Macaca mulatta: one gene and its partner. The protein of the gene in region 1 binds, or shares a complex with, the protein of each later gene. Links are inferred from orthologs where the notes say so. Each region holds a gene or a part of one and is shown in the gene's direction. Other genes may lie near its edges.

Evidence for each region. The genes of interacting proteins can lie anywhere in the genome.
Region 2: the proteins of TUBGCP2 (region 1) and TUBGCP3 are in contact, whole or in part, in a cryo-EM structure (PDB 8Q62), measured with the Homo sapiens proteins. The link is inferred for Macaca mulatta from reciprocal best matches to the Homo sapiens genes TUBGCP2 and TUBGCP3. Residues at the interface, in NP_006650.1 of Homo sapiens: Gln172, His173, Pro175, Ile176, Phe177, Pro178, Trp180, Arg184, Ala186, Leu187, Ile188, Gly189, Phe191, Leu222, Tyr223, Val226, Val228, Asp229, Gly230, Arg231, Glu278, Ser281, Phe283, Gln287, His290, Ala291, Ala294, Arg297, Val300, Lys301; in NP_006313.1 of Homo sapiens: Glu272, Asn273, Cys274, Ser286, Leu287, Asp289, Thr290, Val292, Arg293, Glu296, Trp299, Ser361, Thr363, Leu364, Arg365, Leu368, Val369, Tyr372, Lys375, Ile376, Lys379, Ala382, Ala383, Asp386, His387, Ala402, Tyr403, Lys405, Thr406, Gly407.

Annotation. Positions count from the first base shown.
Region 1 is NC_133414.1:145,386,256-145,389,903, reverse strand, and holds part of TUBGCP2 (gamma-tubulin complex component 2), read left to right. Parts: intron 1-678; coding exon 679-824; intron 825-1,562; coding exon 1,563-1,743; intron 1,744-2,267; coding exon 2,268-2,448; intron 2,449-3,648. UniProt on the Homo sapiens protein: Component of the gamma-tubulin ring complex (gTuRC) which mediates microtubule nucleation.
Region 2 is NC_133422.1:106,825,575-106,829,222, reverse strand, and holds part of TUBGCP3 (gamma-tubulin complex component 3), read left to right. Parts: intron 1-1,683; coding exon 1,684-1,856; intron 1,857-3,540; coding exon 3,541-3,648. UniProt on the Homo sapiens protein: Component of the gamma-tubulin ring complex (gTuRC) which mediates microtubule nucleation.

The DNA of each region.
Region 1 (3,648 bases):
ACGCACCCCACACGAGCATCATTTTGTTGCCCGGGTTCATCATGGAAGGAAATGCTAAATTCCAAAAAGAGGCAGGTGCAGATAAAGACAAATCAGTTTCCCACCTAGCTCTGCGGACCCTGCATTCTCCCTGAGCCCAGGTTAAATGCTCCGTTCCAGAGTGAGGTTTGTAGGTTTGTTTGGTTTTCTTTTTTTTCTTTTTCTTTTTTTTTTTGAGACAGTCTCGCTCCATTGCCAGGCTGGAGTGTGGTGGCGTGATCTCGGCTCACTGCAACCTCCACCTCCCAGGTTCAAGTGATTCCCCTGCCTCAACCTCCCAAGTCACTGGGACTACAGTCGCATACCACCTCGCCCGGCTGCTTTTTTGTATTTTGGTAGAGACGGGGTTTCACTGTGTTGGCCAGGATGGTCTTGATCTCTTGGCTTTGTGATCCGCCCACCACAGCCTCCCAAAGTGCTGGGGTTACAGGTGTGAGCCACCGCGCTCGGCCCCTAGGTTTGTTTTAGCCCACAGTTGAGAAATAACTGGTAGGTTAGGCTTGGCCCTTGTGGAACGTTACTTGGAAGTATGCTGGCCTCCGTTAAGGTCCCTCCACGCTGCCGGCCTGGAGAAGTGTGTCGTCTGCCTCACAGGCGCCCTTGCTTTGCCTGTGACCGAAGCACTCCCTGTGGTTTTAGTGAGTTTATGGTCGAGGAGCACGAGCTGCGGAAGGAGAGGATCCAGGAGGATTACAATGACAAGTACTGGGACCAGCGGTACACCATCGTCCAGCAGCAGATCCCTTCCTTTCTGCAGAAGGTGGCGGACAAGATCCTCAGCACAGGTGCGGTGCACACAGCGGGGACCTGGCCCGGGGCCGCAGCACAGCTCTGCCTGGAGAGTCTCCTGCAGCCCAGGCCCTCCCGCGGGAGCCTGCGCCTCACCCTGTGGGCGTCCTGAGCCTGGGTGTCCGTGAATGTGGGGCCGAGGTCAGGACCGGCCCATGAGCTGGGCTGCAGTGCTGAGTTAAGCCGTGAGATGGTCTCTGTTGCCAGGTTTCATCAGGTTTCCATCGCCAGGACTTTGTTTTGTCCCTGACCCTAGAAGGCTCTCTCACGGGTGCCTTCCCTGTTTCTCATTTCTGATTTCTAAAACTCCATTAGCATGACAGGAAAATCCATCAAAGACACGCGCCTGCTGGCCGGCAGTGTTTTCAGTCTCTGACCACACAGGTTAGGGCCTGACCTCGACCCGGGGCAGCGGTGCGGGGTTGGACTCGGCACATCGGGGCCGTCACGAAAGGGTTGGGAAGCGGTTAGCCATCTGGTTCTCATAATGCCTTTTCGAAATTATTTCTGTGCCCTTGGTTAGAAAATTCCAGATGTGCAGAGCCACAGCAAAGCCCTGACGCCACCCGCTCAGTCTGTAGCAGCTGACCGTGATTTACCAGGAGGGAGCAAGGGTGTGGAGCCGCCTCATGCGGCCCAGTTTCCAGTCCACTGCCTCCTGTGTAGACGAAGACAGCTAGGGCCTGAGATCGACCATGTGGAGAATAAAACTTTTAATTTCTATCTGTTTTCAGGAAAATATCTAAATGTGGTCAGAGAGTGTGGCCATGACGTCACCTGCCCGGTGGCTAAAGAGATCATCTACACGTTAAAAGAGCGGGCGTACGTGGAGCAGATCGAGAAGGCATTTAACTATGCCAGCAAGGTGCTGCTGGACTTCCTGATGGAGGAGAAGGAACTGGTGGCACACCTCAGGTGATTCCCTGCTCTGTCCCTGTGCGGGCGCTCGCCTCCCTCAAACCGGAGCCTGTGGGACGTGGGGCTGAGATCGCTGGGTTTCTTCTGGCAGCTCTGCCTTGTCTTTTTGAAAGTGGGCACTGCCAGATGGTCTCTAGCTCAAGGACCTGGCACGCACAGTCGGTGGTGTAGGCCCCGGGTCACCTTGTCCAGGGGCCCCAGCTCCCTTCCTTGCCCAGGGCCCACCAGCCCTTTCTCGGCTCTTCCTGCCACAGCCTACATGGTGGTCGCACAGCCCCTGCCCGAGAGCCAAGCGCTTAGCCCGTTGTGGTGTGTTTTAGCATGATGGCTGTGGCGGGCACCTGCAGGTGGGACGTGCTCACGCCTGCTCCCTGGCTGTGGCGGGCACCTGCGGGTGGGACGTGCTCACGCCTGCTCCCTGGCTGTGGCGGGCACCTGCGGGTGGGACGTGCTCACGCCTGCTCCCTGGCTGTGGCGGGCACCTGCGGGTGGGACGTGCTCACGCCTGCTCCCTGGCGCAGGTCCATCAAGCGCTACTTCCTCATGGACCAGGGCGACTTCTTCGTGCACTTCATGGACCTGGCGGAGGAGGAGCTCCGGAAGCCGGTGGAGGACATCACGCCCCCCCGCCTGGAGGCGCTGCTGGAGCTGGCCCTGCGCATGAGCACGGCCAACACTGACCCCTACAAGGACGACCTCAAGGTGGGCGGGGGCGCCGGGGGCTGCCACCTCAGGCAGGGGCCTCGGAGGGGCTGGGAGGAGAGCGCAGCAGAGGCCAGCCCTGTCCCCCACTCCCCGCCCGGGTGGGGCAGCCGCGGGGTCTGTTTCCTTCACTCTCGGCTGTGGGGGCTGCTTGCCGGGATCGGGGGTCTTCGCACCTGTGCTCACGAGGGGCGCAGGTCTCGGGTTTTCCCGCAGTGCCCTTGTCAGCCTGGGTGTCAGGTTGTGCTGGCCTTGTGGAATGAGTGTGGACCTGTCCCTCCACCTGCTTTTTGAAAGGGTTTCAGGAGTGGTGTTCTTTTTGTTTTTGTCTTTCTGTTGTTGTTGTTGTTGTTTTTGAGACAGAGTTTCGCTCTTGTCACCCAGGCTGGAGTGCAGTGGCGCGATCTCAGCTCCCTGTAACCTCCGCCTCCCGGGTTCAAGCGATGCTCCTGCCTCAGCCCCACAAGTAGCTGGGATTACAGGTGTGCGCCACCATGCCCAGCTAGTTTTTGTATTTTTAGTAGAGAAGGGGTTTCAGCCGGGGGTGGTGGCGGATGCCTGTAATTCCAGCACTTTGGGAGGCCGAGACCGGCGGATCACAAGGTCAGGAGATCGACACCATCCTGGCTAACACGGTGAACGGCGTGAACCCGGGGGACAGAGCTTGCAGTGAGCTGAGATCGTGCCACTGCACTCCAGCCTGGGCGACAAAGTGAGACTCCGTCTCAAAAAAAAAAAGGGGGGGGGTTTCACCATGTTTCGCAGGCTGGTCTTGAACTCCTGACCTCAGGTGATCCACTCACTTTGGCCTCCCAAAGTGCTGGGATTACAGGCGTCAGCCACCACGCCTGGCCGTTTTTTTTTTTTTTTTTTTTTTTTCTGTTTGTTAATTTTTGTTTTTGATAGAGTCGGGGGTCTCACTATGTTGCCCAGGCTGGTTGAACCCCTGGGCTCGAGTGATCCTTCCACCTTTGCCTCCCCAGGAGTGTGTGGATTCTTGGACGTTTGACAGGGTTTGCCTGGGAGTCCTTGGGCCCTGGGCTTGTCTTTGTTGGAGGCTTTTGAGGCGGACTTGGCCCCTTGCTGGCCACAGGTCTGCTCAGTCCCTTTCCTCTTGGTCGGCTGTTCGTCTCGCATCTCGTCTGGTGCACAGTTCATGGAATTCTAGTTCGGCTTTTTATTTCTGTGAGGCTGGTAGTT
Region 2 (3,648 bases), on another chromosome or scaffold:
CTAGAGGTTCTCTGACTGTGTGCTCAGGTTTTTCTCTTAGGGAATAGTGACCTCTTCATTGATGTACATTTTTCTCCTCACTGGATTCTTTAATAAATCGTTAAGTAAAATAAAATAAGGTTGAACTTCCCTCGAGTGCTGAGATCTTTAAGGATTGTGACATTTTAGTGCATGTGAATTAAGATGATGAAATGCAGGAATGCACAGCGAAGGTGTTATGTACGTGGTCAAAGCACGTTTTCAGGAAATACAGGATTTACAGCTAAGAATCAAGCAGGTGCCGTTGTTATTCATGGATGGAACTTTGTTTTCCTTTGTTTTTAATTACGCATTCTTCCTATATGTAGATAAATAGGTGGATTTGCTTTTTGCCATAGTTGGTTCCTGGAAATCGCATTAAAGTAGATTATCATAAAGTAGATATTTTTCCAGAAAAACAGTGACCAAGGATTTAGCATCAAATAAATGGTGTTTTCCGTATAAGTGTAATAGAATTATTAAATCATTTTGTGATTTATACAATTATGTTGAAGACACTCAAAAACAGAATGTGTGTTCTATACGTATGAATTACTAAGGGAGTCTAGCATTGTGTAAAGAAAACGCAAAGCGTTTAAAAACAGAACTTGACACATTTAATCTAAAATTTAAATTCCAGCTAAAAGAATCAATTGACATTCTCATTTATACCTTAGAATTTAAATTAATTACTGTTATCCTATTAAAAATCTGTATAGAGAACTTTGAACTGAAAGTCTTTTAGAATTGTCCTCTTAAATTTAGGACTATGCCCAAAGACATAGTTTTAGTGAATGTTGTTGACTTCTTTCCTGGTGAAAATGGAGTAAAATAAGAACTGTTTTAGGTCTTTCCTGTTCTCCTTACTTCATGAGTGGATTGTGGATGAACCCCCCAATACTGCACCAGTACTAATTCCAAGCTCTGGCACCTGGAAACGAGTGCAGCTGAGGTTCTCATTTTTGTGTTTTGCAGTCCCAGGAAGTGATATTTAGTTGCATCTGTCAAAACTGACACTATTAGAAATCAGCTATGAGGTTCTTACATTTTTCAAAAAACAACTTTGACATAGTCTCAAAATTGCTGACAAGCCATCTTGACCTTGAATATGCATTTGAATATGCTGCTTAGATTTTATACGTTTGTATATGTTAGAAGTTAATTGAAAATTACAGTGTTTCTTTTCATAGTGAGCACCCTGAAGGCTGAAGACAGGTGTGGCCAGCCGCCTGGGACAATGTCACAGTGACTCAATTCTACTCAGTACATGGGGACTGAACAAGAGTTGTTGATTTTGAAATTAAAATAAGTAGAGAATTTCAAAGTGGTTATAGGGTGGGTGTATGTTTATAAAGAAAAGCCAAGTAGATTTGGATATTAATGGTAAGCAATACATATGTAAGGTAGCAGTAAGATGATTTTTCAACCACTGTGTCGGGTCTGAACGCTAGGCCAAGGGTCCCAGGGAGGCTTGGCCAAGTTCAGGGGACTTGGGACTGTCTGTTATTGATATATTCGGTTAGGATAAAGTCATGGTATCAGCTATCTGAGATTTATAAATTTACATAATTCACAATAGTAATACAAGAGAAATTTCTGGGGACACTTTTGTCTCTTCAGTGAATAGTCTGGCTATTAGAAGATAATACAAGTTTCTTTTTTTAGACAGTCTCATCAAGCTCCGGGAGTAGGAGATTGCCTTCGACAGCAGTTGGGGTCACGACTCGCATGGACTTTAACTGCAAATCAGCCTTCTTCACAAGCCACTACCTCAAAAGGTGTCCCAAATGCTGTGTCTCGCAACATGACAAGGTCCAGGAGAGAAGGGGATACGGGTTGTGAGTAAAGATCTATGTTTATACAGCTTTTCTGTGAACGTTTGGAATTCGGCCTTTCCTTATTTTAAAGTACGGCCCAGGAGCCCCACCTCAAACCTTTTAGTGCTTTCTTGTTCTTTTTTTTGTTTTTTTTTTTTTGAGACGGAGTCTCGCTCTGTCGCCCAGGCTGGAGTGCAGTGGCTGGATCTCAGCTCACTGCAAGCTCCGCCTCCCGGGTTTACGCCATTCTCCTGCCTCAGCCTCCCGAGTAGCTGGGACTACAGGCGCCCGCCACCTCGCCCGGCTAGTTTTTTTTTGTATTTTTAGTAGAGACGGGGTTTCACCGTGTTAGCCAGGATGGTCTCAATCTCCTGACCTTGTGATCCGCCCGTCTCGGCCTCCCAAAGTGCTGGGATTACAGGCTTGAGCCACCGCGCCCGGCCTCTTGTTCTTATGATGAAGTCCAGAGTCCCTGGTGGTCTGCGGCACCTTGGGGAGTCTGGCTTTCCACCCCAGGCTCCCTGGACTGCTTCCTCCCAGCACAGTCTGCTTTTTGGCTGCTCGTCCATGTGGCCTCCTCCCCACACATCTCTCTTCTTTGCTGTTCCTCATCGAGTTCTCCTGGTCTGTTTTCATCCTGCCATTCTCCCTGGTTTGAAAGTCTTTAAGGCTGGGTTAGGCACCGTAGTAAAAGTCATCTTCTTCCACCAAAGTGTTAAGTCCACAGAGGGGCTAAGTCTGTTTCATTTATGGGGCCAGTGCTTAGCACAGTGCCTGGCATGTCGAAGAGAGTCCCTGAGGAATTACTCGATGGTGAGATGAATACCTCATGGAGGGTTTTATTTTTTATTTTATTTTATTTTTTCTGAGACGGAGTCTCGCTCTGTCGCCCAGGCTGGAGTGCAGTGGCACCATCTCGGCTCACTGCAAGCTCCGCCTCCCGGGTTCGCGCCATTCTCCTGCCTCAGCCTCCGGAGTAGCTGGGACTACAGGCGCCCGCCACCTCGCCCGGCTAGTTTTTTGTATTTTAGTAGAGACGGGGTTTCACCGTGTTAGCCAGGATGGTCTCGATCTACTGACCTCGTGATCCGCCCACCTCGGCCTCCCAAAGTGCAGGGATTACAGGCGTGAGCCACCGCGCCCGGCCCTCATGGAGGGTTTTAAAGCCCTGCTAGATTCCAGAAGGAAGCCTGAGTTTCTTTCTTGAGAACACTACAGTTAGCAGCGTTTGAAACATGAGTGTCCTGAAAATAGAGGATTGGGCTTCCCTGTTGACTTATCTGCTGATTCTGAAATGGCTCTGGATGTTACCTGTACCTGTACCTGTGTAGAATGCGAAGGTGAGGAGCATCTGAGAGCCGGAGGACATCCTGGCAGTCTTAGTCCCCTGCAGCAGTCTCTACCATCTGCCCCACTCCCCCGTCCCCATGTGTAGCTCCCGCGTCCGGCGTCTGTCTGTCCACGGCCCACACTCATGTTGTGTTGGACAGTTGTGTGTTCGTGGCACAGCAGGCCAGCCTCTAGACTGAGACTCACCTTGTTTCTTTCTAACTTCATACTCTCTTTTTCATCTTGAACTTATTTATTGAGTTAGTAAATTTCATCCGGGTGGCATATATCTAATCTGAAGCTAATTGTGTCATAATATCTGTTGTATCTTAAAATGTATTGTCTAGTAATTACTCTTTAAAAAATGATTTTGCAGGTACTATGGAAATTACAGAAGCAGCTCTGGTAAGGGACATTTTGTACGTCTTTCAGGGCATAGACGGCAAAAATATCAAAATGAACAACACTGAAAATTGTTACAAAG